3 linked regions of the Drosophila melanogaster genome follow. The protein of the gene in region 3 interacts with the protein of the main gene of each other region in a pairwise test. Each region holds a gene or a part of one and is shown on either strand. Other genes may lie near its edges.

What was found. Proteins that work in one complex are often made in the same cells at the same time.
Region 1: the proteins of AP-1gamma (region 3) and Rbp9 interact in a two-hybrid assay, tested with the Drosophila melanogaster proteins (one large-scale study listed by BioGRID).
Region 2: the proteins of AP-1gamma (region 3) and Dpit47 interact in a two-hybrid assay, tested with the Drosophila melanogaster proteins (one large-scale study listed by BioGRID).

What each region holds. Positions count from the first base shown.
Region 1 is NT_033779.5:2,952,687-2,958,542, reverse strand, and holds the start of Rbp9 (RNA-binding protein 9), read right to left. Parts: upstream 3,782-5,856; 5' UTR 3,230-3,781; intron 3,164-3,229; 5' UTR 3,036-3,163; intron 1,633-3,035; exon of another isoform or gene 1,279-1,632; intron 1-1,278.
Region 2 is NT_033778.4:6,659,364-6,664,228, forward strand, and holds Dpit47 (DNA polymerase interacting tpr containing protein of 47kD), read right to left. Parts: upstream 2,756-4,865; 5' UTR 2,566-2,755; coding exon 1,936-2,565; intron 1,879-1,935; coding exon 1,318-1,878; 3' UTR 1,282-1,317; downstream 1-1,281. Other genes in the region: sced (scrambled), read left to right, coding at 1-617; Adf1 (Adh transcription factor 1), read left to right, coding at 3,085-3,085, 3,206-3,394. UniProt on the Drosophila melanogaster protein: May act as a co-chaperone for HSP83.
Region 3 is NC_004354.4:9,106,022-9,112,159, forward strand, and holds the start of AP-1gamma (adaptor protein complex 1, gamma subunit), read left to right. Parts: upstream 1-2,669; 5' UTR 2,670-2,909; coding exon 2,910-2,965; intron 2,966-3,528; exon of another isoform or gene 3,529-3,966; intron 3,967-4,596; exon of another isoform or gene 4,597-4,967; coding exon of another isoform or gene 4,968-4,984; intron 4,985-5,060; coding exon 5,061-5,122; intron 5,123-5,365; coding exon 5,366-5,507; intron 5,508-5,576; coding exon 5,577-5,765; intron 5,766-5,832; coding exon 5,833-6,071; intron 6,072-6,138. Other genes in the region: Bx42, read right to left, coding at 204-426; Arfrp1 (ADP-ribosylation factor related protein 1), read left to right, coding at 1,124-1,216, 1,284-1,536, 1,655-1,911.

The DNA.
Region 1 (5,856 bases), on a different chromosome or scaffold from region 3:
AATATAGAATCAGTTTTTTTACACTCTTTAAGAATATCTGACACTCCTTTAAATTTCTTAAACTTTTTGGTAGCTCCTGAAGTCCTTTTCTGTTTTCAGTCAACCGAAGGAAGCTTCCTCTTTCCTCCTCTTTCGATTCACGCCCCCAAAATAAGGGGGCGCAACCATTAATTTTCATTCATAAATAGTTGGAAATTGTTTCCGGCTAATTGATGGATTTGATGGCACATACCTATGCAGACACACACACACACACGCACTCACACTTACGAATACTGGAAGAATGGGGAAGAAGTGTTCAAAGGGCAGGAACAAAACAAAAAAGTGACACACCTTGGCAAAGGCAAAGGCAGCGGATGAAAGGAGAGACAGAGAGAGAGAGCGAGCGAAGGAGTTCTGGACAAGTAACGGGTCAGCAAAGTAGAGGAACTTATAAGGACGGCGGCTGAGGCCGTATGCATTTGATTTGGGTGCGGCAAAAATAAACAGGATATATGGGCGGAGAGATAGAGCGGGAGAGACAGTGAGAGCGCAGGCTGCAGCGAAAGCGCAGCAGTCAGCTGAGCGCGCCACAAGATATGCAATGGCTATTGAGCGCCACAGAGAGAGAATGGGAGCCAGAGAGCGAGCTTAACTGCAAGCTGGCGTCGTCGTCGACGGCAACTGCGCTGCCTAAGCAGGGCCGTCTCGAAGGGGTCCCTCCGAGATCAGGGGCTCCAATAATCTCTCAGAAATCCTACTACGGAAATTAAAGAATTTCTTTTAAAATAAATAAATCCGATAATTGCACTAGAAAATTTCAAGTCTTGTAACAAGTTCTCGAACTTCTACCATTTGAAAATCTACATCTAATCAAGGGAACTTTGTGCCACATTTGTACGAACTAGCTTTAAGGAAACTTTTATATGGAAAACAGGTCAATAAATCATTATTTTTGGGGATCGACTCCCTCTGAAGAAACCGCTCCTGTGCGGCGTTTTTTAGGTTAAATGGCGGCTGCAGGCAGCGAAATGAAAACTGCGATGCCGGCGCTGCACGAAACGCAGCTGCATGGACTTCTGTGTGCTTGTGTGTGTGTGTAGGCGGCAAATATATATCAGAGTGTAGAGAAATTGAGATTTCGCCGACTGCAAGCCGCCCCATTGAGCTCCGTTTTACTATTCGCACACATACGAATGCAGGCGAAAAATCGACTTTGGGTGTGGGCACTTTTGCAAATAAAATGGTGTAACTGTAACTGTAACTACATATCCGTAGCATTCTTCTCTGTTCGCTTACATTTATTCGCCAGCGCCGCAAAGCATACAACACCGATTTTCCCAACTCGACTCGAAAGAAAATGGTTCTGGAACTGGGACTGGAAAATGTTCTTCGTTGCAAATGATGTAGTTTCAATTTGAAAACTGAATTGAGCACGCACACACTAAGGGTTTTCGAACTGATTTCGATACTGATTCGGATTCCACACTACGTGCAATTGGACACACGTACATGTATATGTGTATGTGGGCGTAGTTGCGTGAGTATGCAAGATGTGTGTATTTTGATACCGATATACAACAATTCAGAAACGACGACAATACGACGAGAATCAAAAAACACAACTTGCTGCCGGAGAGTGCAAGAACTAAATGATTAAAGTGTTCGATTGCCGCCAGGATAACTGCAGCCAGGACCCGTGACAGCGCTGCCGCGCCGCAGTCCGCGGCCCCAGCGGCAGAGCTCCTCCTCTCCTCCAATTGGCGTACAGTTGAGCACGGCCCTGCAGAGGGCGGGAGGGGGGCGGTGGCGAATGCACAGCATAACTGCGTAGTTTTGCTCTCGCATGCACAGTGGGACAAATTCAAACATTGAGCGCGAACTTTAACCCTTCTACTTTCTTGTGTTGCAAATATAGATAATAATATTAGACTGACCTGACATATGCTAAATATGTATTGTTATATCCAAAATGTTGTTCTATTTTATTTGAAATAATGGATTTCGGTCCCAACTAAACTCAAAAGACAACCTATGCAACAATTTGTAAATGTATAGAAATAAGTAAATGCACCTGACACGTTTCAGGATAAGCTTAAATGCCATTGCACATCAGTGAGATGCAGAAGTGCTGTTTTATTTTCAATATACAGCTTGGGCACAGTTGCACCATTGTACCATGCGAGAAGTAACGGTCGCGAAGAAGAAGGCAAATAATAAAAAGCTGCAGCCGCAAGTTGCGCAGCCTGCAACAGCTCCGGCAACATAACGGTACTCGTTCGCTCGCTCTCTCTTTCTCCTGGCTCGGCACTTAACCGATGTACCCTACATTTGGCTTCGCAAAACATAAACAAGGAAATGCAGCCGTGAACACGAAACGAATTGCGGTAGGTTCTCCGTTCGGCAAAGAGCGAGCTCCAAAAGAGGCGAAGAGAGCCGGGGCTCGTAAGCCGGCCGCATTGCTGTTGTTGGAGCTGAGAGAGCCAGCACGGCACCCAAACAAACACTTAAGCAACAACAACAACGGCTGCTGACTGAAGGGAAGGTGCCAGAGGGGCTTTAAACCCAAGAGCGCAAGCTAGAAAGAGCATCAGAGAGAGAGAGAGCAAGGCAGGAGCGTAGGACGAGCTCAACTTGACATCATCATCATTTGTGTCAAAAGACCATTGAACTTTGCGAGCGGATGGAACAGAACAGCTCCACCCCCATCCCGCTGCCTACAAGTATGCAACAATACCTCGCTCTCCTTATTTATATGCGGTTTGTTTTGTTGCTGCTTGCACACCATCACAATAACAGCAACCCACATGCATGCACTCACTTTGCATAGGTGTTGGGGCCCAATGCATCTCAAAATGTTGCGCTTTTAACCCTTACCTAACTGATCAGACATGTAAGGCCCTTTCATGAAAATGTCCTGTGTTTGGGAAATCGGGAAAATCCCCACGATGTAGTTATAAATGACATACTATAGATTTGTGTACAATAAGTGGCTGTGTTAAATCTTCTTTAGCGAATAGGTTTTTATGTAATTCATTCTTGTTGCCTTACCTTACTTGTGATGGATAATGGTCGTGTTCCATTGATGTTCAATAATATAACGCCCATTGCAGGATTCCTGAATAGGGTTCAGATATGGGTTCCTGGCACTACGGCCTTGAGCTGAAGATGAATGTTCTTGCCTCTGCGGATGTGCATATAAAATTCGGTTAATTTAATTATTTAAATGAATAATTGATTTTCAGCTTACTGGTGCTTCCCACTGCGACTGATTCTGACGTGAGCCGCCAGAGTTCCAGCTTTGGTTGTCATAAAAGCCCCTAGATTGGTTGGGATAAAGCCAAGATAGCGGTGGTTGTGGTAGATCCCCTTTATTGGGCTTCCTGTTGTTGTTCCACGCTAAGGAAGGCTGCTTGATCTTGTTGCCGTGCTTCTCCTCGATGTTCGGGGACACATTCTCGCATTTAACTTGAACCTTGTACCACGAGGCGTCTGTATGCTTACGTTTGATGGTCATATCCTCCTCGCTGGTGGAGTCATACACGTGGCCCTTGATGGGTCTCTTTCTCTGACAATTGTTGACTTTCTCTGGCTCTGGTCCTCCTGTTAATACCCCTGGAATTTGCGGATGTGCCTTACGTCGTTGGCGCTGATATTGCCTTCTCTTGTTGCGAGTGTACCTGGGGATCTCACCCACAAAATCGCTTTGATTTTGCATTCCTTATGATGAAGTTGTAAACGATGAATTCGAAGAATCGACACCACGCTGTCGAAAGCACAGCAAGTAACACGTTGAGTTGCTAACACTGACAGACTACTTTGGCGACTTACCAGCACTGATCGATTAATCATGCAAAAAGTTTTTCTCGTATTGATCGAAACTTCCTTTCGTCATGAGCATTATCAAGATAAGAAATCGTTTTAATTGCATTCGGCTTCAAGTGTTCCCCTAAGGAACAGGAGTTAAGAATTTCCAGCTTTTGTTTGAAACAGATGGACATGAATTTATAACCTTGCCTGGTCACACTGAATTTTTAAAGCATCTCCTTCCGTTATTACAACCATCCATAGTGTTAAAAAAAAGCAAGACACAAAAGGCAGTTATGTAAATGTTACAATTTTTGATGTTTTATTCGTTCGATTTATCAACTACTGTTACGGTAATTGCATATTAAATTGGTTGTTGTTCTGTTGTTGCTTAAACTTTAATAAGTGTACTTGGTTTTAGCTGCGGCTGAATTTAATTATATTTGTACAAAATATATATTTACTTTTAGCTTTGTCAATGAACAACATGTTTTGCATTCATTTTGGTTTTCTACTCGCTTTCCACGTTCCAAAGTCCAGCTTAAAACTTAATTCTGTTGGTTTTGCTGTTCGATCTGTCGGTTCGGTTTTGTTTTTGTTTTTGTTTGGTTTTCTTTTGTTTCGTTTCACTACAATAACGCTTAACAAAATAGAATTATTAACTATTACTAGGCGCGTTTCGTTTGTTTTTGTTGTTGTTGTGGTTGTTGTTGTTGTTCTTGTCGGTTGCTTATTGCTGCACGTTAATCTTGTCACTTCGAAAAAATTTAACTATGATTTCTACGTTGTTTAGTTTAATTCATCGTGTATATATATAAAAATATATATATATTATATATCTTTATATATACCAATATATAGTTATTTATAGTTAGGCATGTAATTATGCTTACTTTAATTATATGCATGTTTGTGTCCGTGTCTTCCCGCCTACGTAATTGTATTATTTACATCGTTTTAATAATTAACAATACATATGTATGCATGTGTACCAATTTATAATAATTACACTTATGTAGTTGCACTGCACAATAAAGTTGCGCAAATTCTCCATCGGCATTCGGCACTCGTCATTTTAGTGATAACTTAAAATTTGTCTACAATTTAAATGTTTGTTTTCGGTTTCATTTGTCGAATGCGAGCGAATGCCTTGTTTCCCCAGAACCATTACTAATATTAATTTAATATTCTTTCTTACTTTGTTTTGCTTTCCGTTTTGTTTTTCGTTACATTTTTGCTTTGATTTTCGTAGTTTCGATTTCGTACATGCCAAAATAAAAGTCAACAAGAAAATGCTGGCTGCTCAACTCGGTCAATATATGAATGTATTCCAGAATCCTACCATCCTACCATCGTACCATCCTATCCCAATCCCCACTCATTTTCAAATTCTGCTGATTGAAGTTGGCTTAAAGTAGTTTACAGCGCTCACTTTTTGGCATTTAAAAATATATTTCTTGTATACTGGCGGCTATATGTACAGCTTATATAACTATTTCGAGGGCAAGTCTATTTCGATTGATTTTTAACTCGTTTAAGTCTACTAATGCACTATTAGTTGTTGCGTCTGTGTGAGAGTTTTGAGGCACCCATTATGAATTTATGAATTATGTTGGGAATAGACTGTGGATGAGGTGGTTTTATGGATGGGTTGAAAGAAATAAAACCAAAAGAGAAATACAATTGCGTGTATATATTTGAAATATATATTAATATAAATATATATTGTTTTCATTCATGTATTTTGTTCTAAAAACGTGTTGTGATTGCTTTTTAAAAATTAATTTAAAATTAATAAAATAGTTGCGTTAAACATAATTCATATAGAAATATTATAAAGAATTTATAACTATAACTTTTCTTTATATATGCCATAATATGTATAATTATATTTGCTAACATTTTTCTTTACCAAGGCTGCAAAGTAAAATTAACTAAAACTTAAACAATTTAAAAAGCCGTTCATCTTCCTTACTGTACGCATACGAAAACAAAATTCAACTAAAATGTTTATGTTTTTGGGTAACAGGAAAAGGGGGTAGGGTGGGCGGGGGGGGGGGGGGGTGGGCT
Region 2 (4,865 bases), on a different chromosome or scaffold from region 3:
AGCAGCGTCACAAGGCGGCCACCATCTCATCAGCATCAGTATCAGCCAAGACTAAAAGCTCAACCAAAAAGACTGCCGCCCACAAAATTTCTGACAGTGTTTATGCAGTCACCCATCCGGTAAAGCGTCCGAACAGCACCAATAGCAACAATACCCACCAAAGCAACAATAACAATAACAATGAAGGCGTGGATGACGAACTGCTGCACTTGACCGTTTTGAAGAACATTGACTTTAAGTTTGATGATAGCCAAGCATCTGAGGATTCCTGCAAGGCGAAAGCATCTGCTCTTCCCGTAGCGAACGAATGCTTTGTACAGCCAAATCTGGAGAAGGAGTACGAGGATCGCTTTCAAGCGGCGGAAAAGGCTAGTCGTCTTTTGCAAAAGTATGCGACGCTGGCCAAAATCGGGCATTCGCCCAGCAAGGCGTTGCCCGCACCAGCGCGTCTGGAACCCATGATTCAGTCTGTGGCCACGTCCAATGAGTTGCAGCCCGAGGGAGGCACCATGAAAAAGTTCGCCTCCCTACCACGCTTCAAGAAAATTGACTTTTCGCCGCTGAAGATGAGACTCAATAGTGTCCTCCAGAGAAATCCACCTTCGCCGCAGCACTAAAATGGATTCTCCGTTTTCCGTAACCATGTTTAACACTTCGCTGTGGACACAAACTGCTTTTTAACCATTTCGCTATTTATGTTGTAGTTTCTTGTGAATGTGATCTGATTAGTTCGACAAGTTGATTATTATGTTATCCGAGTATATAATACGCTTTCCCACGATGCACTTAGTATTAAGCCTTATATGTATGGTCATCCTGCTTTGTCAAATGTATTTTAACGAACCATATCCGGATCCACTTGGGGGGTCCCCTAGTATTACTACTGTTGTGAACCAACGATGAATGTCTAAGAATATGCTCAATTATGAAAATTTACAAAAACGCTTTTATACGTATTAAACCAAAAACCACATTGTTGACTCATTTAGGCGCCTTGTTGTTAAAGAAAAACTAAATTTAGCTAAACAATTTTCAATTCTACAGATGATTAATCGTCTACCAAAATGGGCTTACGCCGCATCAGATATTTTTTGGCGGCGTAGCCTGAACTACGCTTTTCGGCTTCGCATAACATATCAGAGATTAGTTAAACTTACAATAAAATGCTTCAAGATAGCATAACCAATGCTGAACTGTACCGTGACTAAACCATAAGCTTACAAATAAAATATGCCACAAAAATGAAGTAAACTTTACAAGCAAATGAAAAGGTGTTTGTTTGTTTTCAAGAAGGAATCACTTTATTTGCTCACTGTCTTAACTGTAAACCATGGGTCGTCGCCGTTCGTTTATAAACTCCTGTTCCACTCGCGAATCCTTGTGCACCACATAGAAGAGCAGAGCGCCACCGGAAACGAAAAACCCCTTTTCGGCGATTATCTCGGCCAGCTGCTTCTCCTCGTCCACCTTGTGGACACAGCCCACCTTGCGGTTCTCGTAGTAAACGTGCACGTTACCCAGGCGGTAGTTGTGTGCCTTGTCGTATGGCAGCTTTTCGGTGAGCAGCGTCGCCAGGCAATCCCGCATGGTGGTGGTCTCCGGCAGCTGCTGATAAAAGTCGCTGTACAGGAACTCGGGGTAGGAGAACGCAGCCGGCCAGATCAGAGTGCTGCCGTCCTCGTCTAGGTGCACCGGATGGTCCTCCAAAGGCAGAAACTTTGGATAAAGGAGCTCCTCACTGAGGACGTCCTTTTTGCCAACTTTTTGATCGTCAAACTTAATGGCGCGCTGCTCGATGGCGTCGCGGAGTCTGTGGAAGCGTGTAAGCCGTCGCTTTGCCTCGGCAGCTTCCTTGCGCTGATTGCGTTCTATCTCGAGCTACGGAAATAACTTGTTTAATGTGGGTTCCTATCCAGTTGGATCACGTATTCTAACCTTCTTCATCTTGTTCTTGTGCAGCAGCGCGATGGCCACCTCGTTGTCGACGTCCACCTCGAGCAGCTCCTCGCACATCTGGGTGCACAGATCGAACCTCTCCAGCTCGTACGCACACTGTGCCGACCGCCAGCGGGCCTTTGTGTAGTCTGGCTTGTAGAACAGAGCTCGCTGGGCGTCGCTCAGCGAGGATCTGTAGTTCTTGATGAAGAAGTGAGCCGCCGAGCGGTTGTTGTAGAGAACGGCTAGCACGTCGGGATTGTCCGTCTTGGTCTTGATGCCCTCGGTAAAGCTGTAGATTGCCATGCGGAACTTCTTGTGCTTCATGTAAAAGTTGCCATCCTCCTTGTAGTTGAGCGCCAGCTCGTCGCGCGTGTTCTCCTCCGGATCGTACTTGAGCTTCTGCAGACCCTCGAACATCGGATGCACGTCATCCCCTGGCTGAGGAGCACGTTTCATGAAGAACGGGTGCTTGTCCATCTCCTCCTGCCAGCGGTCCTCCGGCCAGCCCTCCTCGTAACGTTTCTTCTCCAGGCCATCGATAAACGCATCCAGTTCCGCGTCCAGCTGGGCCGCCAGCTCCAGACGCTCCTCATCCGTCCAGGCTTTTTGTGCCGCCATTTGTTTCATTTGGTCTAATCAGAAACAGTGTGACCGCAGACGAACCGTTACAATATACCAACTGGCCAAAGGTGCCGCACATTTCCTAAAGGTGGCGCCTCTAAAATAAGGGTGGCCCTCCGTCTATCGATAGTCGTACGCTTCCTTCTTTAAACGAGCTAAACTCGGAACGAATTATGATCTTAACATCTTAAATCTTAACATGGTAAAACTTTAAGCCTTTTGACGCTTTACGCAGCTGTTGTGATATATCAGAAACATCGATAGTCGCCATAACATATTGTTATTGTATGAGAGTTTTAAAATTATCGATGCGCTGATGACCCCTTCATCGGCGTTTTCCCACCCCTAATTGGCAGAGACGCGACTGAGCTGGGACGTACCGTTACCGTTGGCAGAGACGCGACTGAGAAATAAAATTAAAACGTCGACGTTCCTTCCTCGTAGAAGAAACCAATCAAAATAAAAACAAACAGAGCGTGCGTTCGCGCCAAATACTTAACAACAATTAGCAAACGTAAGAAGCAAAGTGAGTGTCGTCGGCTGCGGGAGCCCGTGTGCCCAGTTTGGAACTGGGATCCGACCCAGTCCACGTCCGTCTCGTCCCCGCTAAATTTGTAACTCTTGTTTCCCCGTCTTGTCCCCTCAGTGCATACCCTCACGGCGGCCATTGAGATGGACAAGCTGGATGCCAATCTTGAGCAGCAGTTTGATCTCAATCTCATCGAGGCTGTCAAGCTGAACCCAGTGATATACGACAGGTCGCACTACAATTACAAGCACTTTGTGCGCAAGGCCCAGACCTGGAAACAAATCGCCGAAACGCTCGGTGTGCCTGGTAAGTGAAATTCGGCTGGTTTTGGCTACGGGTTTTCTGCTTTCTGTCAGCCGTCTTCGGTCCGTGCCCCAACCAGCCCCAGCCAATTGATTAATTCTGTGCGGGCGCAGGTCGAAGGGGCGGGACAAGTCAGTCGACGACGACGACAGAAAACGACGCAAAAGTGAACGGCGACGCGGCGCAGTAGCTGGCTGATGGTTAGGAAATGGCAGGGGGGGATCTATACGTGTGAGGGTGGGCGCGGGCTGCACCGCTCATAAATTGCATTTTATGCGAACTTTTTTTACTGCATTTATATGGTTGCATTTAGAATACAGTTCATTAGTAATTAAACCTAGGTTAATTTCTATCTGTAAAGATCTGCTCTAAAATGAGCGCCCCTTTCGGGCGCTCGGACTGCGGCCCTGCTTGCTCTGTCGGTGTGCAGACTGTGCTCAGTCGATATTTTTGAAGTTGCTGTACTTTGCCGTCGCGTCGCAGTAGTTGTCTCGCTCGCTCCGCAGCCATTCTGCTTGCGCCAGCGTTTATTTTCGTACACTGCGACTGCGATGTGCGCTGCTCACACACGTATACATGCATACAGCATACAGTGGCAGAAAACAGTTTGGCACGGGTTATAAATACGTATTTATTAGTAAAATAAATAAGTTGCTCAGTTCTTTAGACGAAACTATGGATTTTATTTTAATATTGAATAGGATGAGAATTCGGAAAATTAAAATATAGGGCTTTGGAAAGGTCAATAGATAAGCACAAATTAGAACAGCTGTGTCAACACTTCAGAGTCCCACTGTACATACCGGAGACCGACCAGGCAGCTTTCGTTTCGTTTTCATGAGTATACCAACAAAATGTACCGTTCACCCCACCCCCTCGACGGCCGTTGATCGAACCTTAAATTTTCGGCCAAATCGCTGCACCTCATCCGCTTTCGATTATGCAAGTAGGTGGCTGGAAAGCTGGAGTTGCAGTCAAGTGGAGCCAGCAGCAATGCCACAGGTTTCCGTCTCCTGGCAGCGGGCAGCGGGAGTCGGCGACGTCACAGCCACCGTCACGTCAACGTCTCTGCTGGCGCTGGGAAGCTGCTGTCCGCTGCCTTCCTTCTGCCACCGACGCTGCTGCTGCCAACGGTTTGTTTTGGTTCCCGATTTGATGCTTCTTTGGGTGGGTTTGATGGCATAGTTCTAGTTTCTGCACAGTTCCGGACTACACTAGTCCAGAGCTTCTTGAAGAACCTTCTGTGGAGAACCGCCACGCACAGCTGCGCAGGTGTGCTTGCACCGGTTGTTATGAACAGGTCTTCGAGAAAAAAGCATTTATTCAATGTAACAGAAACAAGATTTTAGTTTATATTAGATTTGTAATATTTTCAGAAACATTTCATTTACTTACGAATCTGGTTTCTTTTTTCTTTTCATTTATAGAGGTATACTTTATCAAGCATTTGACGGGTTACCCTATAAAATAAAAT
Region 3 (6,138 bases):
GATCATAAAATACAAAAATACAACATTCTACAGCAAACGTTTAACTTAATGTGGTGGAAATTGAAGCCTTCTCGCTGTACAATCACCCACATATAAGAAGCTAATGGTTATTTCCCTTACGAGGACACCATTACCAACGAAAAACCGCGACAACATTGTTTGCAAGCACAGAGAAAGTGGGATTAGCACGAACGGGAACCCACCTAGTGGATATTGCGCCACATGGATCTCCGGGAAGGCGCCGCCATCGCCAAAGTCCGCATCCGTATGTGGTACCCAATCCTTACGCTGTCCGTACGGCGGAGCAGCGATTTTGGCGGAGACCAGGGCTCCGATCTTTGGTGCTCCGCGGGCGACCAGGCGACGCTCGTCCTCCCGATCCCAGATCGCGTTCGTCGGCGTGGGCAGCAGGCTTGATAGCGACATAGCTTATCTGTTATTTGTGGCGAATCAATTCTTATGTGAAATCACTTTTCAATATGCAAGCCACAAAAACTATAATGGAAAAGTCGAAAAAAAAAACACGCACGCACACGGACACACACAAGCGTACGGGTGTGTAGGGTTGCCAGACTGCTAATAAGAAAATGCTATAGAGTATGGTCCCTTTTAGGGATGGATTGCATATATTGCGTTTTTCTTAAGACGTAAGAAAACCAAATTGGTAGAAATAACAAAGCGATAGCTTTTTCCAAATTTGAACGCGAATCGGTAGTGGATTGGTAATGGTCATCAAACATCATCAAAATTTGCAAAAAATGGTCAAAAAATTGAATTTGCATTTTTGAACACAGTTTGATTTGAAATTTTATTACGAGCTTAACGAGGTATGACATTCCATATTTGGACCATTATTTCGAATGTTCTTATCAAAATACTACAATATGGTTTATAAAAATCAGGGGCAATCAGAGAAAATTTGAATAATTTATTTTTATTACCTTAACAGAACTGTGCAATACTTAAAAATATAATTTATAGACATCCCCCTAATAATTAGATAGATATAAGTGACACTTGCCCGATCGATACTATCGCATCGCCCTAGCCGCTGGCAGTGCCATCGCTAGCAGTTCAGTCAACAATTTAAGTTTTTGTTTTTGTTGGCCAAAAACACAATACAATGTACACATTGATGCACGGCTTCTACAAATACATGACTCAGAAGGACGACTACTGCGTGGTAATCCTGGGCCTGGACAATGCTGGCAAAACGGTAGGCAGCTGAATCATCCAATGAAAGCCTCATGTCCAATCGGAAACTAACACCTGTGCCCACGTAGACTTACCTGGAGGCCGCCAAGACCACGTTTACGCGTAACTATAAGGGCCTCAATCCGAGCAAGATCACGACGACGGTGGGCCTCAACATCGGCACCATCGACGTGCAGGGCGTACGCCTCAACTTCTGGGATCTTGGTGGCCAGCAGGAGCTGCAATCTCTCTGGGATAAGTACTACCAGGAGTCGCATGGCGTCATCTACGTGATTGATTCCAACGACAGGGAGCGCATGGAAGAGTCCAAAGCGATATTTGGTAAGCGAAAACAGTCTTCGAACTAATCCCTTGAACAAAACTCGTTTTGATCTATTCTGATGATCTCTGGTAAAAGGAAAAAGGTTCACCTAAAATGTGTTATTCTCTTTCCCCACAGACAAGATGATCAAGAACGAACTGCTGTCCGGAGTGCCTTTGCTAATCCTGGCCAACAAACAGGATCTGCCGGATGTGATGGGCGTGCGGGAGATCAAGCCAGTTTTCCAGCAGGCGGGTGCTTTAATCGGGCGGCGAGATTGCCTCACCATTCCCGTATCCGCGCTGCACGGCGAGGGCGTGGACGAGGGCATTAAGTGGCTGGTGGAGGCCATCAAACGACATGCGGTGGTGCGGCCGCCGCGGGAAAACGATTAGAAGATCAAGCAGAAGACATCTGGGCCTGGTAGTCGGCCCTCCACTGGCTTTAATTAGACATGTACTTTTGTAAGTTAGGGGCTTAGGATAACGCTTATTTGTAATTAGCCAGACGAGATTGCGAGATACCAATTGTAAAGATGCGTTGTCATTATTTGCAAAGACCTTTCTTTTCGGTTAACTACTGCTGAGAAAATGAGGAAAACAATGTTAGAAAGCTGTGAGACTTCTGCATAGGACAACGAATTACAAATACTATTGTTAGAATAACAAAGAACGCAATGCTTATTAGCCAATTAAGTGCAAGAACTATAAATTCAGAAGTACTTGAAGATGTATTTGAAGAAGTACTTTGTTCTGTTAATAACCCAGATACATGGGTATTTGGATGCCAAAAATGTAATAAAACTGAATCCATTCGCAGCTGTTATGGTTAATCGTTAGCCACAAAGTGTGTGGGCGATTCGAGGTCCACCAAAATCGGGAGAGTCGCTTCTTTATCTAACAGCACTGCACTCGTAGTACACCTCGATATGGCGGTTGTCAATGGGGCTCCGCTTATCCGAACCGAACGACACCGAACCGCGGAAAGAAACAACCAGCAAACAGACGGGATTGTGGTGTTCTCACGGCGGGGGGAGCATTATTATTACCATTATCAGTCCGATAGATAAGTGCTGTGTGTGCCACCAAAAAGCAAAGGCGGAGGAAAATGAAAATGAACTAAAAACAACACCTGGTGAGTGGCACTGGAATCGTCAGTCTTCCGCAGGAGTTTCCACCGCTCGGACTGGAAATGATCGGCCGCCAGCAAGGGCTAGATAGCTAGACCTCGAGCCAGAGCTAGAGAAAAGAAGAGCGTTACCTGTTAATTATTAGTGTACATTAGATAAGGCCTATGTGAAGCACTCGCCGCTTATCGCTGCCATTCCCATACCCGAACGCGCTCCCGCTCCCATTCCATTCGGTTTAGTTCCGTGCTCCAGTGAGAAGCCACCATGTATCCGTATTACGAGCAGGACTGGAGCGTTCTGCCGCCGGAGAACAATCGCAGGTGAGATGAAATCCCGCCCGGTGCTCGTTCATACCCTTAAAGATTCGCCAGTCGATCTTTAGAAAATGAGACTTTTGAAAGTGTTTTTCAAAAATGACGTTATCGCAGTGTGACCGTCCATTGACCGCTCTGCATAGCGGTATTTTTTTTTTATTTGTGCTGTGGTGTGGCAAAAGAAAATCGTTGAATCACCCTGTGTAAATGCAATTTATTGTCCCCCTATTATCTCTTTTATTTTGGTAAAACTGCCCCTTCTCTACTGGCATTCCATGTGAGTTGTTGCGGTTCGAATGCAATGCCATGGAAATATAATTAAGTGCATCTTTTACTTTGATAAGGCAATCAAATTAACTGAACGAATATTAAACTCAAACTGTTACTTATCTCTCAGATAAACACAATTAATTTGTAATGATTTATGCCTCAGTCTTGATATTTTCCGTATAACTATTTGTTTGGTTGATAAATCATTGAATACCTACCCACTGTGCCATCAAATGCGCTAACGCCTATCAGCGCGAGGCGTTAATGCCTTTTGCGCACACTGCTTGTAAATATCGCGCTCTCGCTCGCACCCACTACCACTGTTGCGCTCATCATCAACATATTCTCGACGAAACATTTTTTTTTACTTGTTACGTTGATTTTGTGGCGTTTAAAATAGCGATTAACCAGCGCCAAGTTGGCCCAGCGAACATGTGCTAAAGCGTAAATGCAGTGCTAGAATAGGCATTTATTCAATTGCAGAATCATTCCAGTTAAAAGCGAAGGTGTGTGCGTGTACTTGCGACGACGGGCCGTGTGTGTTGAAATTTTTTTTTTAGTTTTTGTCGCGTTGTTAAATTTTATAGTTGAAAAAAGCTAACGTGTTTCCTGATTATTCATTAACAAAAAAAACGTAACGCCGCCAAGTGCGCGAATGCATCCAATTTGTTAAAACGGAAATGCCCGTTGAAAAGTGTGCCATAGATTTTCCTGCCCTTTTCTTGTTGGCCCAAAAGGCATGCATGAGTGTATATATGTGTGTGTGTGCGTGAGCAAGTGTGTGTAGGCCTTCCAGCGAATCGCATAAATTAGCAGGCGAAAAATCACATTGAAAACAAACGAGGAAAGCTCGCAAGAAAAAAACCCTACGTGTTAAATATATACTATAGGGTATATAGGAGTGACGTTATTTCATGACTTTTTAATGCAATCGATATGTATGTATGTATGTCAGTTATGCTATCGCTGGCAGCTGTTTTCGTTTTTTGCCCAGTTCACTTAATAAAATATTAAGTGGACATCAGTAAACAAGTTGGATTTTTCGGGCTTACTGCTTCTCCTTTTCCAATTGGAAACCCTTTGCGCGCGTATGAATGTCTCTATTAATGTGTGTGCGTGTGTGTGCATTAATCATTTAATCAATTTGCATTGCGCTCCAAACTAAAGTGAATAAAGCACAGTAATTTGTTGTTGCCTTGGCCAGAAAGAGAGATCAAACGTATTTGTTTGAGCCAACTCACACACACCCACACCCATGCACGCATCTGAGATGTCAGTTTCATAACAACAGCGATCTACTTTATGTCAGCGGTAATTGTACCTGCTTTTATTTAAACTATTCAGCTTATTTTTTCCAATTCCATTAGCTTGGAAAGAGAGCAAGCGAGAGAAGGATAGAGAGTAGGAGAGCAAGTGCAACAAAATAGCGGCCGGCTGTTATTCCCTGTGTGTGTGTGTGCGCGCGTGTGTGTGCGTTTGTGTGGGAGTGCAGGTGTGTGTGCGCGGAAGATCTGCAGAGGAAAAACCGTTATTTCGTTTCGCTAATTTGTGTTGTTGCCCCGCCGCAACAGCAACAAAAAGAAAACAGAAGAGCACATAAGCCGGCAAATAGTTAACAAAACCAGACGTAATAGAATATAATAATAATAACAAAAATATAAATAAAAATACGAACCAGTAAAAGAAGGAGCAAAAAAAAGGCTGCCACACAAGTGATTCAACGTTTCTCGTCGCCACAATGAACTCCGAGCATGGGTAGGATCCTAAACAGCAGTGCAAACATCCCTAGAATTATGCCCATATAAACCCATTTAACCTCTTCCTCCGGCAGATTTAATCCAGCCTTCAATATGGCCACCATACGGCAAGCATTCACAGAGGCGGTGGAGAGAGGTAAGTCCAAGACAGTGAACACCACTTGGTAGATTGCTCCAATAAGAAGATGATCGTGTGCTTGTGATCACCCAAAAGGTGGCTACAAGTACGCTGCACTCCTTATTCATTCAGATATATAGTTATAGTTCTATTAATGACCTGAAACGAAGGATACAGGCAGGGGTTAAGAGAGAAAGATCAGCGGCCAGACAGACAAAAACCCGATTAATTAACATATTCACATCCACTTCTCGCCCACAGTCAGAATGCCTACGCCCACACGCCTGCGCGACCTCATCCGACAGATTCGCGCCGCCAGAACCGCCGCCGAGGAGCGGGCGGTGGTCAACAAAGAGTGCGCCTACATACGGAGCACGTTCCGCGAGGAGGACTCCGTCTGGCGGTGAGTCATCTACACCCGGTTGCAATATACATATGTATATACTATATATATATATATATTCGCCCACAGCTGTCGCAACATTGCCAAGCTGCTGTACATACACATGCTCGGCTATCCGGCTCACTTTGGCCAACTGGAGTGCCTTAAGCTGACGGCCAGCACGCGGTTCACAGACAAGCGGATCGGCTACCTGGGCGCCATGCTGCTGCTGGATGAGCGGCAGGATGTCCACCTGCTTATCACCAACTGCTTGAAGAAGTAAGCTTTAGTGGGCGGTCTAATTTTGCACTTAATGCACTAACTTATAACACAATCTCAATTGCAGCGACTTGAACAGCTCGACGCAGTTCGTCGTGGGCCTAGCCCTATGCACTCTGGGTGCGATCGCCTCACCGGAGATGGCCCGAGATCTGGCCAGCGAGGTGGAGCGTCTGATGAAGTCCCCGAACACGTACATTCGCAAGAAGGCGACGCTGTGCGCCTTTCGCGTCATTCGCCGTGTGCCCGAGCTAATGGAGATCTTCTTGCCGGCCACGCGTTCCCTGCTCAGCGAGAAGAATCATGGTAAGCATACCTACAGTAAAATGAGTTTATCGACGATGATCAAACTAATTCGTAATATTATCTGCTA